2 linked regions of the Coturnix japonica genome follow. Each later gene encodes a partner of the first gene's protein in a complex. Links are inferred from orthologs where the notes say so. Each region holds a gene or a part of one and is shown in the gene's direction. Other genes may lie near its edges.

Region 1 (4,306 bases):
ATTGCAGGTTGAGCAGGGACTGCCCTGTGCTCTTCCACAGCTTGGCTGCCCCAGGTCTCACTTGTTCTGTGTGTTTTCCATCTCTGGAAAAGTCTTGCTCTAATATTTCTATCTGCCACGCAGTTCTTCTATATGAAATGCTGATACCTGCTCTGCTTGTTTCCTTGGTGCTGAAAGATGCAGTGTTTGATGCTGCTCAGCACCGACCTGCTGAAGGGAGCAGCAATGCTCAGAGCTGACCCTTGAAAAGCTTAAACTTTTGATCCACAAAGCAGGACCTTTTGTGCTTACAAACGTGTTTAATGGCAGAAAACAAAGCTACCTGCCTGTTGTTTCTCACCCTTCTAAATAGTTTAGCCTAGAATAGGGAAACAAGTGGTTTGATCAGTGTGCTTCCAATGGTGATATGTGGCACTGCCATCAGTTCTGATGGGAGAAGGGTGTGCATGTCAGCCGTGCTCTCAGTGCTTATAGCATGGGCAGTGATGGCAGAAATGAGGAGCCTCTCTTTGTGCACACTCTTAGTTGCTCTATTTGGGGGTAAAAATCAGTACCCAAAGAACACATTCTGCCTGCCCATCATTGCTGAGAGTGCAAATGTTGTTAATTAGAGTTTTGCATGCACTTAGTGCCTGTCAGCCCTGCAGTGATAGATGGGTTTCTGACCCTCTGCTCTCCTACCAGCCCAGCACGCTCTGCATCCCCCAACCTACCTTCATCTCTCTGTTAGAAATAATTTCCCATCTTGCAAAATTAATTCTCTGCTCACAACGGCTTTAATTAAATAGCTCCGCAAAGTGTGCTGAGGGTGGCAGAGCAGCTCTGACAGAGGGGCTTCATCCAGCCATCACCTGGAAGGAGGGTTTTGTTTTGGGCTCATTCTTCTTGGCTTTTATTACTTTGCTGTCTGCATAGAAGCCCTCCACCAGAAGAGTTGATCCCTTTCTTTTCCCAAGAAATGGGCTGGGAGAAATCCTTTTGGACCTCACAGGTGAAATCTTGCTGGCCTTTGTTTTGGTGTGAAGACCCCAGAGGATGCAGGGAAGATCTCTGATGAGAAAGAAAGCTGCCATAGGATGGCAGTCTGCCCACTGAACTGTGGGGGGGATCCTGGGGAGAACAGAAGGAATAGTCATCTCTTTTGTTAATATAGACTTCCATGATTGAACTGGGGGCTTGGAGACACTCAGGGTCAGGCTGGAGGGGCTTGGAAACATAATGATGTGTCTCTGTTCACTGCAGGGAGTGTTGGACTGACAGCCTTTAGGGGGTCCCTTCCACCTCAAATGATTCAGTGATTGGATTAGGTTGGGGTCACATTGAGCAGAACACAGAGAGATTGGGACTGAATGTGCAGCAGGAATAAGTTGGGTTTTCCTATTTGAGAGGTCAATGAGCAGCATGAAGGCTGTCCAGGTGAGCTCTCTGCTCTGATTTACTGCTGTTCTCCCTTCAGCATTTGAAAATCAATCCATTTACTATTAATGTCTCATCCTGAATTTATTTCACACGCCTGTTAATGGACTGACCAAAACTCTTTCAAACACCAGGACTCCTGCATCACACGGAGGGCTGCATCTCTGCTGTGTGCTTCTTTCCTTTGTTCCCTCTCAGATCTGGGACCTGCTTTCATGGAAGCATTTAGGAACACTGCTGCATGTTCCCATGCTATTACTGGTGAGGAAGGTGCAGCTTCTGTGCTAAACATCCCCAGGCAAGCTTTAATGTGGAACTGGAGCAGCAAGGGCTGTCTGCTGGGCCCAAGCTGCTCTTCTGGGCTGCCTGTGGACTCTGTAAGAGAAGCAATGTTTGCTGCCCAAGGAGGCAGTAGTCTTTCTCTGTGCCTCCTGGGCCATACCAATGTGTGCTGCACCCCAAAAACTGCTGGAAAACTGCTTCTACCATCTGTGACAGGTGAGTGGGGCAGCAGAGCATGAGGCCCTGCAGGCAGGGTGCTCTTGGTGTGGGATCAGAATGAGGCAGACCTCACGGTCCCATTTTCCCCCTGTGTATGGGGATAGCAGACAGCTGTGATCACATCCCATGGCTGGATTTGGGGAGGATTAGGGGGTAAGGGTCAGAAGCTCCATGTGCTCCTCAAATTGAGACAAAGCAGGGGATGCTCTCAGTTACACCCCTCCCCACTTTGCCCACCATAGCTCTGAGAGCCCTGGCTCAGCCCTCTGTGCCATTTGGCCACTTTCTAGGTTAAATTCCCCAAATTCTACCTCTGTTCCGGGAGCACTCAGCCCTCCCGGCTGCTGAGCTGCCCCAGGTGGGTGCGGGACACTGCCGGGGACTGCAGGTAGGGTTGGGTATTGGTGCTGGAGTCTCCTTCCATCTGTGGGGTAACTAGGGGAGGGTGGCAGCTCTGAGCGGTGGGGACGGAGCCCGCAGGTGTGAGCTCGCTCTGCTTTGGTGGGTTTGGCTTTTTCCCTTTTTTTCCCCCCCCCTTTTTATTTATTTTTTTAATCCATCCCCTCCCTCCTTCCCCCCCCCCCCCCCACCTCGCTTTGCTTTTACGCAGTGACAGCAGCCAGGCAGCCGGGCTGGCTCTGCCCAGCCGCCGTCCTCCCTCCTTCCCTCCCTCCCTCTTTCTCCTTCTCTCCCCCCCATCCTTCCCTGCTCCTTAAAACCTGCGTTCCGGGGGTGCAGCCCCTCCAGCGGAGCCTCCGGCCGTGCCCAACCCGGCTTTGTTCCCTGCGGGGCTGCCTGAATGCGGACGCAGTAAGAAGGGAAATCCGTACGCAGGTAAGCAGCCAGCAGGGGTTTACGTGTCTCTGTATCTTTTAAACTTCGGGCATTTCCTACCGCTTTGCAGGGGATGCTGCAGGGCTGCAGCAAGCTGGCTTTGGACAGAAGGGGGGGAGGGGTGGGGTGAGCTTGGAGCCCCGGCTGGAGGCTGCTGTAGGGGGTGTTTGGGGAGCACGAAGCTGCATTAAGGGTTTCCAGCCTCATCCAGGCTGCGGGATATGGGTGGGGGTCTCCCAGTGCCCGGGAGGAATGGAGTTGTGCAGCCTGCATTCCTGCTGTGCTGACGGTGTGGAGATATTTGAGCTCAGGGTGCACTGAGCTCTGGAGTCTGAATCCCATTTTCGTGCTCCTGGGGAGCATCCCTTGCATTCTTTGTGCCCTGAACTGCCCGTTTCACCAGCATATCTTAAAACTCTCTTTTCGGTGCCCCCAGGTCGTTGGCACAGGCTGGTGGTTCATGATGGACCCCCTCTTCCCTGCCCATATATTGGAAGACCCCGACCTGAGAAAGCTGCTGAACGACTCCTCCATGCTGAACCTGAGCTTTCTCCCCAGCAACTGGTTCAACAACGGCACGGGGGACAGCTTCCTGCCGCTCAGCATCAAGATCACCATTGTGGTTGTCTACTCCATTGTGTGCATTGTGGGGCTGGTGGGCAACTGCTCCGTCATGTATGTGATCGTCAGGTAGGCAGCAGGCAGCTTGCAAGGGAGGGATGGGAGCAGGGAGGGCAACCTCGTGAGAATAAATCAGTGCTGCAAGAGGAGAGGGCTGGTGATTCTCCGGTAATTGCAATGTGCTTTAGAGGTAATGGTGTGGTGTCTGTTTAATGCTTTGGGTTTTATATGTTGGGTCTTTTTTTTTCCCCTCCCTTGCTAGGCATGGTGAAGGTTCCCACCAGCTTTCAGCTGCCCTCTGGTGCCTCCTAAAGTTTAACCCAGAGAATGGAACGGAGCGAGCAGGTCTGCTCCATAAGTGGGGCTTTTTGCAAGCTGCTGGGTAGGGAGTGGGGTGTCCTGGGGAACATGAAGTGTTGGGAGCATGCAGGGTGCGCCCACTGCTCTGTGGGACATCTTCCCCCTGCTGTGGGTGCAGCTGCTGCTCCATCTGGGAGCTGAACCAAGTTCTGAGGTGTAGGGCTTATTGGGAAGCTCAGACTTGCATTTTTTTACCTCTAAGTGCAATTCATGCAGCTTTTCCACCTCGATGGGAAATATGGGTGTAAATAAGATGCAACAGGGTGGTGAAGAGATAAGGGTGACTTTCCTGGCTCTGGAGTTGGGAGGACCTTTGCAGGAGGACACAGCTCAGAGCCTGGGCTGCTCCTGCAGCACTGTCTGACCTCTCTGCCTGCTCCTGCTGTGGTTTGAACCACCTGATTTCCTGCAGTCATAAACCCTGCAAGTACAAAGTAAGCTCCTGCAACCACTGGGGCTGCAATTCTATGTCAAGTGCCAGCATCCCTCTTGTGATCTCAGTGCTGTGTGTGGTATAGAATCAGCTCCCATTCTATATAAATCTCAGAACACTCCTGATGCCAGCGCAGAAAAC
Region 2 (4,595 bases), on another chromosome or scaffold:
GCCACAAAATGGGCGTTATTCCCAATTAGTGTGATGGCAACCCCTCCCACCAATCATCTACCCCCTCCCCCCAAGTTAATTAGCAAGACCACGAGCATCCTCACCCGATGTCCTTTGCTACCAGCTCAGCCCTATCCAAATCACTAGGTTAAAACCCAGCCTTGGAGGTAATTCCCTCTCACCAGGCTATGGTGATTCCTCTGGGGGAAATCCACTGTAAAATGCCCCCCAGAGGGGACAAGGTGCCTGCCCCCTTGCCATCCCCTTCCCTCCACCTTGGTTTGGTGAAAAAACCCCTTCATCAAAAACAACAGCAACCTGGATGGTTGAAGGAAGTCTGAGCAATAGGGACATTAATAAATAAATCAGCTCTCTGCCACAAAAGCAGTGAGGAGTGCTTCTCCCCCAGCTCCCCCCCTCTGCCACTTTTCAGCAGTTCCATAGGTTTCTGGCTTCTGATGCCTGCCAGAGCTTGCACAGAGCAGAGGTCTCAGGCAGGACATTAAGCGCGCTGTTTCGGAGCCAAAGCAAAAACAAAAGGAGCCGTTTTGCTCTGCTATGCAGCCCTTCCAAGGGAGTTGTTAGGGGGAATTACTGAGATATGATCTCAGTGGTGCTGCGGATTTGATTATTGAATTGCCAGTGTGGGGTGGTGAAGGATGCTCGGGGCAGTGAAGGATGCTTGGGGCCATGCAGGATGCTCAGAATGGTATAGGATGCTCGAGGTGATGAAGGATGCTCGGGGTGATGAAGGATTCTTGTGGTCATGAAGAATTCTTGTGGTCATGAAGGATGCTTGGGGCAATGATGGATTCTTAGAGAAGTGCAGGATGCTTTGGTGGTGTGGGATGCTTGGGGCAGTGAAGGATGATCAGGGTAATACAGGATGCTCAAGGTGATGAAGTATGCTTGGGGCAGTATAGGATACTTGGGGTGCTGAAGGCTTCTTGGGGTCATGCAGGATGCTTGGGGTGGTGCAAAATGCCTGGTGGCTTCAAGCAGGGTGATCCATGGGGTCACTTAGATGGGAAAAAAGAGGCAGTGCTGCTTGGTGTGGGAAAGGGCTGGAGGCGGCCGTGCCCCTGAGGTGGGAGCACTGGGACACACCTTTGGGATGGACCCAATGGGCCACAGATCCACCCCATTTTGGGGCAAGGGAAGAGATCCCCTCCCTTTCCAAATGAAAAGTTGTAATTTCCCCCCCATGTCCGTTGAGCTGCCCCATCCTCTTGCCCGCCATCGATGCTGGTCACACTCATTAGCCACACTGGAGCAACAAACCTGATGAGCCCCTGTACCCCCACTACCCCCACCCACCCAGAGGTGTTTTGGGGTAGCGGGACTCCCATCCCGATCCTGGGGCTGCATCAGTGAAAAATAAAAAAAGCAACATTTTAAACCTGTTATGCCCTAAAAGAAATTATGGCGGTGGGTGCCCCCCAATGCTCAGTGGATGCTCCAGCTTCGCAACTCATGGCTGAGCCCCCCCAGCCCCATAACCTCCCCCAAAATCTTCTCCCCATGCTGCTCGAGGGCACTGCACTGAGGTCTGGCAGAAAGGGATCTGGGGGTAACACAGCCACCCCATATTCACGCACCCAAATGCGATGCCGGAGGACACCCCACTGATGGGAACCGGTTCACAGCACAGAGGGGCACAAAGGGGGGGACACACGTCCCCTGTCCCCAGCTGTCAGTGCTGCCTCAGCCCCCGGGGGTGGGCTCAGCCCACGTGCTGGGGGCCGGGCAGGAGGTGTGGGGACGGGTGTGCACACCGTCTATATATACCACCGAGGCACCGGCGCCGGAGGAGGCACAGAGCAGAGGAGCCAGCAGCTGACAGCACACTGCAGGTAGGAGATGGGCTTCGGTTTGCAGTGGATCAGGGAGGGGGGAGGAGGGAATTGGCTTTCTTTTTCTTTTTTTTTTGCTTTTTTTTTTGTTGCTTTTTTATTATTATTTGCTGGGTTTTTTATCCCAAGCATCACCGGCGAGGCTTCGATTCATCCCGTATTCCCATTCCTCAGCAAGGGTTAAAGAGAAATATCTCCCCACAAAGCCAAATGCACGATGCTTGTCCAGGCGAGCACCTGCAAAAAAGTTTCACCTTCCCCCAAATATCCCTTTTTGGACCCAAACTGGATGAGGAACGCAACAGGAGCCCGATGCGCGGTGAGGCAGCGGGGTGGCAGGTGAGATGCAAAGGGTTTGGGGTTTGATCTGGCACAAAGCACCCGGCTTCTGTGTCTCCATCCCTGCACCGATGGCCTGAAGGGAGAAACCACAGGATTACCAAACCCCAAATTACCCCTTTTTGGTGTTTTTCTCTTTTTTTGGGGGGAGGGGGTTGATATCCAGGACAAAAGGGATAGGGAACTTCACAACTTCAGCACCGCGGGATGCGCCGGGAGGTGCCTGGAGCAGGAGGCATCGCTCCCTCCTCTGACAAAGCACAAAAGGGAGGAAAATGGTTGGGTTTTCGTTTTGTTTTTTTTTTCCCCCTTTATATTCTTGCCGTCCCCAACAGAAAGCAGGAATGAATGGGGACGGGCGCAGGGAGCAGCCCTCTGCCCAAAGCTTTTACCTCTCAATCGCTCCATCGCTGCCCCATCTGTGTTGATCATCTCGACGCAGTCTGTAATTTTGGCCAATTATGGCCAATTACCTGATGGAGGGACTCAACAAAAGGAAGCGCTTGTTTTTCCGACGAGCACCGGGGAAGCAGGGGGGGCTGCTTCCAATCCCCCCCAAGCCACTGGCACAAAGATTTGGGGCGCGCTGGCAGCGTTGCCTTCCCCTTCGCCTTTTCCTTTTGCTGGTGGCAACTTCATATTATTTTTATGCTGGAGGAGAGCAGGAGGGGAAGTGTTTTACCCGTGCCAGTGGGGGATAGTGTTGGATAATAGTGGGGTTTCGTGCTGGAAGCAGCTCCGTGCCTCCAGGTCGGGCCTTGCATTCTGCTGGAAATAGTGGGATTTAGGAGGAAACAGAGCAATCATTGGGGCTGGCTGAGCTCTGGGAACAGTGCTTGTTCCCCACGTGGTGGGACAGACCCTAACCCTAATGAGAACATTCCCAGGGAACACAGGGTTCAGCATCCCTGAGCTGCCCTGTTTCAGCTGATTTCAGCCCAAAGCTCACACTCTGCAGAAAAAAAAAAACCCAATCAGCCCAAATCGAATGAATGAAAGTGCATCACAGCAGCACCTGCTGCCCATCCTCCTCCTCCTCTCCTCCCTGGTTATTGATGTCAGAGCCAGACCCTGCCGCTATCTGAACCACAGGCTGTATTTCCACCCAAATCCCTCCTTTTTACCCCAACGCTGTTATTAATGAGGATAATTCTATTTGATACTGGCGTACCCCAGGGCTGTGGGGCTCACAGTAACATTTTAGAGGATTCTGCATCCCTCCATCCCCCCAGAACCAGGCAGGTGCCCCACTTCAGATGGGCTGATTGCATTTTCAGGGGGCATCGATATGCGGTGCCACCCCTCATGCTGGGGCTCACATCCTGCCTGCCCCATAGCATCTTCCAGTTGGCCATCCAGTAATTCCCCCAGTCTCTGCACTCCAGCCCTCCCAGGTATACTGGGACACCTCCTTTGGGGGCATTGTGGAGATATTGGGGTTTTGCAGTGGTTTTTTTAGGGGGGGTGTTGTCCTCTCCCGGGAGCTTCCTGCCAATCCTCTGACTCACGCCGCCAGCCAGTTTTAATGAGACTCGGCGAAGATTAAGCCTTAATTCTGACTCCTTATCAGCTTTCCCTCTAGCAAATGACAAGCAGCTCCGCGGGGCTCTGTGTCACTGAGCTCGAAGGTGACCGTGACACCGTGCAGAATCCCCAGTGCTTCTATTGCATGATGCCCCCACCCTGGTGGAAAACATGAGCCCTGAGCCCTACCCACAAAAGCAAACCCACCTTCAAATCCCCCCCAGAGTGCCCCAACATGCTGATGGAGCACAGGTCACAAAGCCATTGCTGTCACCACTGAGGTCTTCTTTGCCCGCGATGGGCAAAGCTGGATGTGTGGTTCCTGGATGCCCATCAGAATGGTGGCTGAAGACTGGAAATCACAGTTTTAGAAGGAAATGAGGATTTCTGGTCTGCTGGTGGAGCTTGTAGAAGGCTTTAGACATCTTGCCCGTCTCCTTGCCCAGGACATGTTTTGCATGAAGGGATCAAGGTGCCACCAAGGGCAACTTTGCTGTCCCCGTGTCCTCAGCCTCACTGCTGGCACACAGACATCCTGTTTGGGGACAGCCTGAGACGTGACACCTCACCATGTCCACCTGCTAAATTAAGCTCTGCTGGTACTCGTGTCACGAGATAGCCTGGGAAAATGGAGCTGGGGGTGGGAGGGAGGCTCATTCCCATTATGGTGAGGGCTGAGCGTTGCTCCAACCCATTTAGGAGCAGTGCTGGGGCTCACAGCTTTTGTCTCTGGCTGCAGCCCCGCCGTTGTCACCATGAGGGCCGTGCTCTGGGACCTGCTACTTCTCTGCCTCTTTGCCCGGGCACGGAGTGACTGCCGGGGGGACTGCCTGCGCTGCGACCGCCACTTCTACCACGATGGCTTCGACCTTCTTGTAA

The links.
Region 2: the proteins of OPRL1 (region 1) and PNOC are in contact, whole or in part, in a cryo-EM structure (PDB 8F7X), measured with the Homo sapiens proteins. The link is inferred for Coturnix japonica from reciprocal best matches to the Homo sapiens genes OPRL1 and PNOC. Residues at the interface, in NP_000904.1 of Homo sapiens: Gln107, Asp110, Gly114, Phe115, Trp116, Val126, Ile127, Asp130, Tyr131, Met134, Gln192, Glu194, Ile198, Glu199, Cys200, Leu201, Val202, Ile219, Val279, Gln280, Val283, Gln286, Gln291, Pro292, Ser293, Val298, Leu301, Arg302, Thr305, Tyr309; in NP_006219.1 of Homo sapiens: Phe130, Gly131, Gly132, Phe133, Thr134, Gly135, Ala136, Arg137, Lys138, Ser139, Ala140, Arg141, Lys142, Leu143.

Annotation. Positions count from the first base shown.
Region 1 is NC_029535.1:8,320,199-8,324,504, reverse strand, and holds the start of OPRL1 (nociceptin receptor), read left to right. Parts: upstream 1-1,251; 5' UTR 1,252-1,631; coding exon 1,632-1,914; intron 1,915-2,527; coding exon 2,528-2,751; intron 2,752-3,187; coding exon 3,188-3,441; intron 3,442-4,306.
Region 2 is NC_029518.1:96,462,726-96,467,320, reverse strand, and holds the start of PNOC (prepronociceptin), read left to right. Parts: upstream 1-1,726; 5' UTR 1,727-1,853; intron 1,854-4,455; 5' UTR 4,456-4,471; coding exon 4,472-4,591; intron 4,592-4,595.